Oryctolagus cuniculus: one gene and its partner. The protein of the gene in region 1 interacts with the protein of each later gene in a pairwise test. Links are inferred from orthologs where the notes say so. Each region holds a gene or a part of one and is shown on either strand. Other genes may lie near its edges.

Evidence for each region. The genes of interacting proteins can lie anywhere in the genome.
Region 2: the proteins of LRP1 (region 1) and MAPK8IP1 interact in a two-hybrid assay, tested with the Homo sapiens proteins (2 studies listed by BioGRID). The link is inferred for Oryctolagus cuniculus from reciprocal best matches to the Homo sapiens genes LRP1 and MAPK8IP1.

What each region holds. Positions count from the first base shown.
Region 1 is NC_091442.1:59,825,494-59,828,993, forward strand, and holds part of LRP1 (prolow-density lipoprotein receptor-related protein 1), read left to right. Parts: intron 1-1,023; coding exon 1,024-1,155; intron 1,156-1,308; coding exon 1,309-1,443; intron 1,444-1,570; coding exon 1,571-1,700; intron 1,701-1,789; coding exon 1,790-1,916; intron 1,917-2,116; coding exon 2,117-2,268; intron 2,269-2,349; coding exon 2,350-2,474; intron 2,475-2,759; coding exon 2,760-3,137; intron 3,138-3,500. UniProt on the Homo sapiens protein: Endocytic receptor involved in endocytosis and in phagocytosis of apoptotic cells. Required for early embryonic development. Involved in cellular lipid homeostasis.
Region 2 is NC_091432.1:20,079,097-20,083,210, forward strand, and holds the start of MAPK8IP1 (C-Jun-amino-terminal kinase-interacting protein 1), read right to left. Parts: upstream 2,801-4,114; 5' UTR 2,712-2,800; coding exon 2,611-2,711; intron 1,075-2,610; exon of another isoform or gene 296-1,074; intron 1-295. UniProt on the Homo sapiens protein: The JNK-interacting protein (JIP) group of scaffold proteins selectively mediates JNK signaling by aggregating specific components of the MAPK cascade to form a functional JNK signaling module. Required for JNK activation in response to excitotoxic stress.

The DNA.
Region 1 (3,500 bases):
GGCTGGGTGTGGGAAAGTCCTGGTGATAAGGCGGTGAGGTCGGGAGGGCGGGGCTCCTGCGGGTTCTCAGCTGGTGGTGCCTGGAAGTGGTGTTTGGGGAAGATTAAGCTGGCGGCAGCAGGGGAGCAGGAGAAACCAAGGCAGTTAGACCAGTTAGGAGGCTTTGGGGTAATCCCAGGGTGAGCAGCAGGGTCTGGGCTGAGAGTCAGAGGCGTTTCACGAGCCCCTGTTGACTGATTTATGGGCCCCTGGGAACCTCCGCCTTTGATGTGGGCACGGCAGGGAGGCAACGTTGAGGCTGCGGAACTTCGCAGAACTTCTCAGAGCCTTGAATGTGTCCGTGCACACCAAGAATTCTTCAGGCACGGACTCCAGCATTCAAATATCAGGAACATTAGACTATTAGAAATAAGCACTTCTAGTAAGCAACGTTAGGAGTAAATATGCAAGCACGGCCTGTAGCATTCGGGTTTTTCCCTCACTGGGGCCCCTTTGGGCGTTCATTTGGGGCCAACCTGCATGAGAGGATAAAGGCAAGGGAGGGCTAGGGCTACGCGGGGAATGGAGGGCTGGCAGCAAGCAAGGTGCTGGGAAGGTTTCTGGGTGTTGGAGAGAGGGTGTGGCCTGGACCAGTCAGAGGGAGGACAAAGAGGAAGCTAAGGTCAGGCGGAGTGCCAAGCTGAAAATCTAGATTGGAGACGTCCCATCCTGATTGTCTGAGCCTCCCCCAGGGCCTCTGTGGGGAGCCGCCCGCCTTGTGTTGTAAGGGCCAAGTGAGGGGAGAGAAAGCCGCGTCTCTGCTGCCCCCTCATGTCCGTGAGAGGTCCTGCAGGCACTCGCCCTCTAGCCAGGAGGACTTTCTTCAGCAGCGCCAGGCTCTGGGTCTCAGACACCTTTGGGTCAGGGGCGATGGCTGGGGGGAAGATACCAAAGAGGAAGCAGAGAAGAGCGGTGTGAAGGTAGCAAGAGCCAGGCTTCAAGGAGCGTCGCGAGGCCCGTGCCTGAGGGGTCATTGCCTTTCAGGCGTGGGCTCCTTTCTCCTGTACTCCGTGCATGAGGGAATTCGGGGAATCCCCTTGGATCCCAATGACAAGTCAGACGCCCTGGTCCCTGTGTCAGGGACCTCGCTGGCTGTTGGCATCGACTTCCATGCTGGTGAGACATTGGGTGACGGGGGATGGCGGGACGTGACCCAGGAGCTTGGGGACCTGCACTGGCCCCCAGCACCTGACACCTGCTGCATGATTCTGGCCCCTGGTCTTGCCCCCGCCACACCGGGTATCCTCACGTGGGCACCTCCACTTGCAGAGAACGACACCATTTACTGGGTGGACATGGGCCTGAGCACCATCAGCCGGGCCAAGCGCGACCAGACCTGGCGAGAGGACGTGGTGACCAACGGCATTGGCCGTGTGGAGGGCATCGCAGTGGACTGGATCGCAGGTGGGTGCTGGGGCGCCTCAGAGGGGATGGGAGAGGAAGTCGGCAGGGACAGATGGACAGCTGCAGGGGTCCCTGGGGCTGTGTGCGTGCCCCCCACCAACCTCCCTGCACCCCACTCCCTCCGCAGGCAACATCTACTGGACAGACCAGGGCTTTGACGTCATCGAGGTGGCCCGGCTCAATGGCTCTTTCCGCTACGTGGTCATCTCCCAGGGTCTGGACAAGCCCCGGGCCATCACTGTGCACCCGGAGAAGGGGTGAGCAGCTGGACGGGCTGGCTCGGGGCCAGCCCTGGCACTTTTGTGATCTGGGTTCTCACGCCCGTCCCCTTCGTCTCCACACACAGGTACCTGTTCTGGACTGAGTGGGGCCAGTATCCGCGCATCGAGCGCTCGCGACTGGATGGCACCGAGCGGGTGGTGCTGGTTAACGTCAGCATCAGCTGGCCCAACGGCATCTCCGTGGACTATCAGGTTTGGGCGTGACCATGGAGCCGGTGGGGAGAGCCCCGGCCAGTGAGAGAGCAGAGGGCAGGGGCCCAGCTCCCACCCAGAGCAGGACTCCTCTACCCCAGAGGCGACGTGCAGAGCAGAGGGACCCGGGGGACGGGCAGGGGTGAGTGGGGAGAGCAGGGGGTGGGGGTCCCGGAGTGAGGTGGCATCTGTGCCCGCAGGATGGGAAGCTGTACTGGTGCGACGCCCGCACCGACAAGATCGAGCGCATCGACCTGGAGACGGGCGACAGCCGCGAGGTGGTCCTGTCCAGCAACAACATGGACATGTTTTCCGTGTCTGTGTTTGAGGACTTCATCTATTGGAGTGACCGGTGAGGGCTGCTCTTCCGTGTGCCGTCCTCACCCCGTCCCTGCCCTGCGCGCGCCCCGCTCACGCCTCTCCCTGCCCCCAGGACTCACGCCAACGGCTCCATCAAGCGCGGGAGCAAGGACAACGCCACCGACTCCGTGCCCCTGCGAACCGGCATCGGCGTCCAGCTCAAAGACATCAAGGTCTTCAACCGCGACCGGCAGAAAGGTGTGAGGCTGGCGCTCTGGGCCAGGGCCAGAGCGACAGGGGCTGGGAGAGAAGGTGGAGCCTGGAGGGGTGCCCTCCAAAGGCCTGAGAGACCAGGAATGGGGGGAGGGGAGAGGCTGGCGACAAGGGCTGATCTGGGAGTTGAGGGATGAGGGCCTGGAGGGTTGACTGAGCTGGGGATGCTGAGGCAGAGCAGGCGCCAAGGTCAGGGTCCAGGTGACAGGAGCACCAGAGAGCCCCTCCCCCAGGCAGACCCTGCCCCCTGTGACCTCCCCCTCCCCCCAGGCACCAACGTGTGCGCCGTGGCCAATGGCGGGTGCCAGCAGCTTTGCCTGTACCGGGGTGGGGGCCAGCGAGCCTGCGCCTGCGCCCACGGGATGCTGGCGGAAGACGGCGCGTCCTGCCGGGAGTACGCCGGCTACCTGCTCTACTCGGAGCGCACTATCCTCAAGAGCATCCACCTGTCGGACGAGCGCAACCTCAATGCACCTGTGCAACCCTTCGAGGACCCCGAGCACATGAAGAATGTCATCGCCCTGGCCTTCGACTACCGGGCGGGCACCTCCCCGGGCACCCCCAATCGCATCTTCTTCAGTGACATCCACTTTGGGAACATCCAGCAGATCAATGACGATGGCTCGGGGAGGACCACCATCGTGGAGAGTGAGTGCCCGGGGGCCGGGGGGGCCGCCACAGACTCTCACAGCCCTCCCCTGCCCCACATCCGAATCCCACCTGCCGCACTGTCCCACAAAAGTGGCAGTCCAGCTGCGCTGAGCCCGCTGTCAGCTACATAAAAGTCTCCTTATTTGGAGTCGCTGTTGCCCAACCCCCCTCCTCCCTTGTCATCCCCTCCCCCATTCCTCCAGGGATGCCCAGAGTCAGGCCAAAGTCTGGAGCCCAACACTCACAGCTCCGGCTGCAGACACAAGCTGGGGTTCCACGCTGGCCCCTTAGGATCTCAGCAACTTGCACAGGCTTGCTTCCCTGGTCAAGCCTGGGTGTGCTGGGCTGTGTAGGGAGACG
Region 2 (4,114 bases), on another chromosome or scaffold:
CCAGTGTACCCGCTGTGTAAATTGCTACATTCTCTTCTTGGTCATGAACATGTATCACTTTAATAACATTTTCTTTTATTATTTTGCGAGGTATACAGATAACTGTGCTCATTATAAAAAAATAAAAACTCCAATACACAGAAATGCGTGAAGGAGAGGCAGAGGTCCCCACCCTGTCCCGCACCCAGAGGTAACCACTAGTAACCGACTGCAACAGCACTCAGGACAAACAACCCGCAATACCCGAGAAGCGCCCGCCCCCCCCCCCTCCCCCCGCGCCCGGCCTCCCACTCACCCGCTCGGCAAACGCTCCCCCAGTAAGTGCGCCAGGGCTCTGTCTTACTGGGGGCTGGCTCTGCAATCGCACAGCCTGGGTTCAGACCCCAGCTCTGCTGCTTCTCTAACCTCTCCAGGGCTCCGGTCTCCGCACCTGCAGAGCATGGAGACTCACAGCACCGGGCATGTGGGACGGGCGTGGGAAGGGCCACGTGCTCTGGCTCGCGCATGCGCACACGCAGCTCTCAGGGTGGCGCCTGGGCAAATCCACCGCTCCAGTGCCCAACCCTGTCCTCAGCTAGGGAGCACACCAGTAGGGCGTCACCGAGCACCTACTCTGTGCTGAGCAGCTGGGGCGGACCCCCAACGCCTGCTGGGGGCTCACGGCGGCCCAGGGTGCAGCCACACACATGTGTGGGCTCAGGCTCACCCCGAGCAAGGGCCAAACTAGCACCTTGGAGAACAAGACAGGGAGGCTCAGAGGGGTTACGAGCCCAGTACCGGAGCACACAGCTAAGAAGGCCCAGCCAGGATGCAAACCCGGAGCAGTGGGGCCCATGACCTCATCACGCAGCCGTAACACAGCCCTAGCTGCCCAGGGCTCCGTGGAGCTGGGCCAAGGGCTGTGAGGGAGCAGCATAAGCGAAAGGGCAGCGGGGGCTGCTGGCGCCGGAGGCCAGGCATGCAGGGCCAGAGACAGGGGCTGCTGTTATTCCCACGAGCTGGCCTCGTCCCCACTGCTAGGCCATGGTGTCCTGGCCGGCCGGCCCACGCCTCAGCCTTCCGGCCAGGGCTGGGCACACTCACTCCCAGTGTTTGCCACCATAGCTCCTCTCATTAGAGACTGCATGAGAGCTGCACCTGCCAGAGGCCAGGGGAGCGGGGGGGGGGGGGGGGCAGAGGTGGGGCCGGGGGTGCAGGGGACAGAACGCACAGACCTGGGGGCCAGGCCAGCTGCCCTCCTCAATCTGGATCATTTATTTTATCTGTAGAATGGGTAGGCTGAGCCCCCTGGGGGTGGCTGTGAGGGCGCAGTGGGCCAGCCCTGGAGAGGGCTTGGGGAGCCCCACTTGTGTCGGCATGCACGTGGGCTGCCACTTGTTGGACACCCACTGCGTGGACATGGCCTCCTTCCCAGGCAGGAGTCAATACTAAAGATCCCACTCAACCGATGGAACCCACAGGGGCCAGACACCCGCGTGGGGCAGGCACTGGGGAAGTGGCCGAGCCAGGATCTGGACCCAGGGCCCTCCGAGCCCCACGCTCTCCCACTGTGGGACAGCCTCCTGCTGGGGAGGCCTTCTGTGTCTTGCCAGGGGCTGCAGTCCTGGAGCCTCCCTCTGTCCTCTGGGCTCAGCTCAGAGCCCCCGGGGAGGCTTCAGGGCCTGATGATGCCATTAGAGACCCCCAGGGGTCCCTGTGCACCTGAGGGCCTGGGAGCCACAGACCCCTTGCTCAGAGAAGGGGCTGGTATTAAAGCCCCAGCTGAGCCCTGGCTGGGGCAGGGGCCCCAGGAGACCGCAAGGCGCCAGCTCAGGAGATGGCGAAACAATGGAGTTTGTCCAGGCTGCTTTCTCCCAAAAGCCAGCAGCATGGAGGGGAGGTGCATTCCTCTCTGCCCCACCCACCCACCCTTCACAGCCCTGAAAATCACCTGGCCTAACACCAGATGGGAGGGGAGCTGAGGCCAGAGTCCCGGGTACTCGCTCAGCACAGTCCCCCTGCCCATGTCCCTGGCTACCCCTAGGCAGACTCCAGCAGCCAGGCCCAGGAGTCCCCTGGTTGAGGCTGGGCCAGCTGCACCTGCCCTGAGACACATCTGGCTGGGCTGGGGTGCCCAGCTCCACACCGGGTCCTGACTATGCCGGCCTGGCAGTCGGGCCCATCTGGCCAGGCAGGGCTGGGGGAGGGATCCACACTCCCGCCTTCCAGCACCAAGGCTGTCGGTTACCCGGTGAAACAGACCCCAGTGCCACCCTTGGCCGCTCCCCTCTCCACTCAGACCAGCACAGGCAAAAGCCCAGTTGGCCTGCCTGCTCTCGACCTCGACCCAGACCCCAGGCCCAGACTGCGGCCCCGCAGTAGGGAAGAGGGCGTCCTCGGAGCCCCCTCCTCCAATTCCAGCTCATCACCTTGCACCCGAGGACGCGCAATGGCGGCGGAAGCTGCACGGCACAGGCTACCCGTCCAGACCGAGGCTGGCTTCCTAGGGCCTCGGTGCAGGGAAGCGACCCAGCCCCACGCCGCCCCGAGCTGCTGCGGGGCGGGGAGCGCGGGCCTCGGCGCCTCGGTGCCGGTGGAAGGGCGGGGCGCGCGGCGGCTGGGGATGCTCACCTGAAATTAGGAGGCGACGCGATGTGCAGCCCCAGAAACGGGGAGGCGGCCGGCGGGGACGCGGCACCCCCGCCCAGGCCGCCGCTTTCTCGCTCCGCCATTCTCGGGCACAGCCCTGGCCATCCGGGCGGAGCGCGGCGCGGGGGAGACGGCGGCGGCGGCGGCGGAGCAGCGGGCGGGGGCGCGGGAGAGGCCGCCGCCGCCGCGGGGCTCGGGCGGGGAGGGCGCGGCGGGCGCACCTGCGCAGGGCAGGGCGCGGTTCCCGACGGCGCGCGGCTGGCGGCACTGGCGAGAGCGCCCCCGCGCGCACCCCCGGGCCGGGCCGGGGTCTCGTGCGCCCCGCCCCCGCGCCGCCGGCCCCGCCCCAGAGGCGGCGCTCTCCATGGTGCTGAAGGCACGGCCCCCGCGGCTCGGGCTTGGCCCCGCCCCGTCCTAATCCGAACCTGCCCGCCCCCAACCTCGCAGGGCGCCCCCATCCCCATTGCTGGCGATGCCCTCCGGCATCAGGTAACCAATGGCCCCTTGGCCCCCAAGACCCTCTTGGGCCACCCCGGGCAGAGACAGAGGAGGCAGGCGGGAAAGGAGGGTCCCTGGGCTGTGAGTGGAGTCCCGGAGAGGCAACTTTTAGGCGCTGTCAGCTCACTGCCTGGCTCCACAAATGAGAGGGTGGGGGACCTTGGTCAGTGACGTCAGGGCCCCAAAATGTGCTTCTCTCACCTGTGAAATGGTGACAATACTATGCCCCCATGGCAGTTGTCAGGATGACAGGAGACGCCAATGCTGCAGGAGCTGACCCAAGCCTCCCTTCAGCCAATGGAGAGTCCACCAGCGAGGACAGAGCAGGCGCCTCCCCGCTGTGGTCAGACCTTTCACAGCACCTCTGCTGCACCACTGGCAGCCAGGCACCCAGACTTGGGCCTTCCCCCGCCCCACCACTGACTCCCACCCCTGCTGGGTTTGGGCCATGGCTTCCTCCTGTCTTCTCACCCCTTTGAGGTAAGCCTGGGCCTTCAGCGTCCCTGAGTTTTTTATTTTTATTTATTTATTTATTTTTGACAGGCAGAGTGGACAGTGAGACAGAGAGAAAGGTCTTCCTTTTGCCGTTGGTTCACCCTCCAATGGCTGCCGCGGCCGGCATGCTGCAGCCGGCGCACCGCGCTGATCCGAAGGCAGGAGCCAGGTGCCTCTCCTGGTCTCCCATGGGGTACAGGGCCCAAGGACTTGGGCCATCCTCCACTGCACTCCCTGGCCACAGCAGAGAGCTGGACAAGAAGAGGAGCAACTGGGACAGAATCCGGCACCCCGACCAGGACTAGAACCCGGTGTGCCGGCGCTGCAGGTGGAGGATTAGCCTAGTGAGCCGCAGCGCTGGCCCCCACCTGAGTTTATTCAGAGCATGGACTGCCAAGCCCAGGGTCCCCTTCTGGGTGGTCTGTAGCCTCTGGCCAGTCCGCAGTGGCTGCTTCTGTGGCCGCCTGAGAACCCCAGACACTGTCCCGCACAG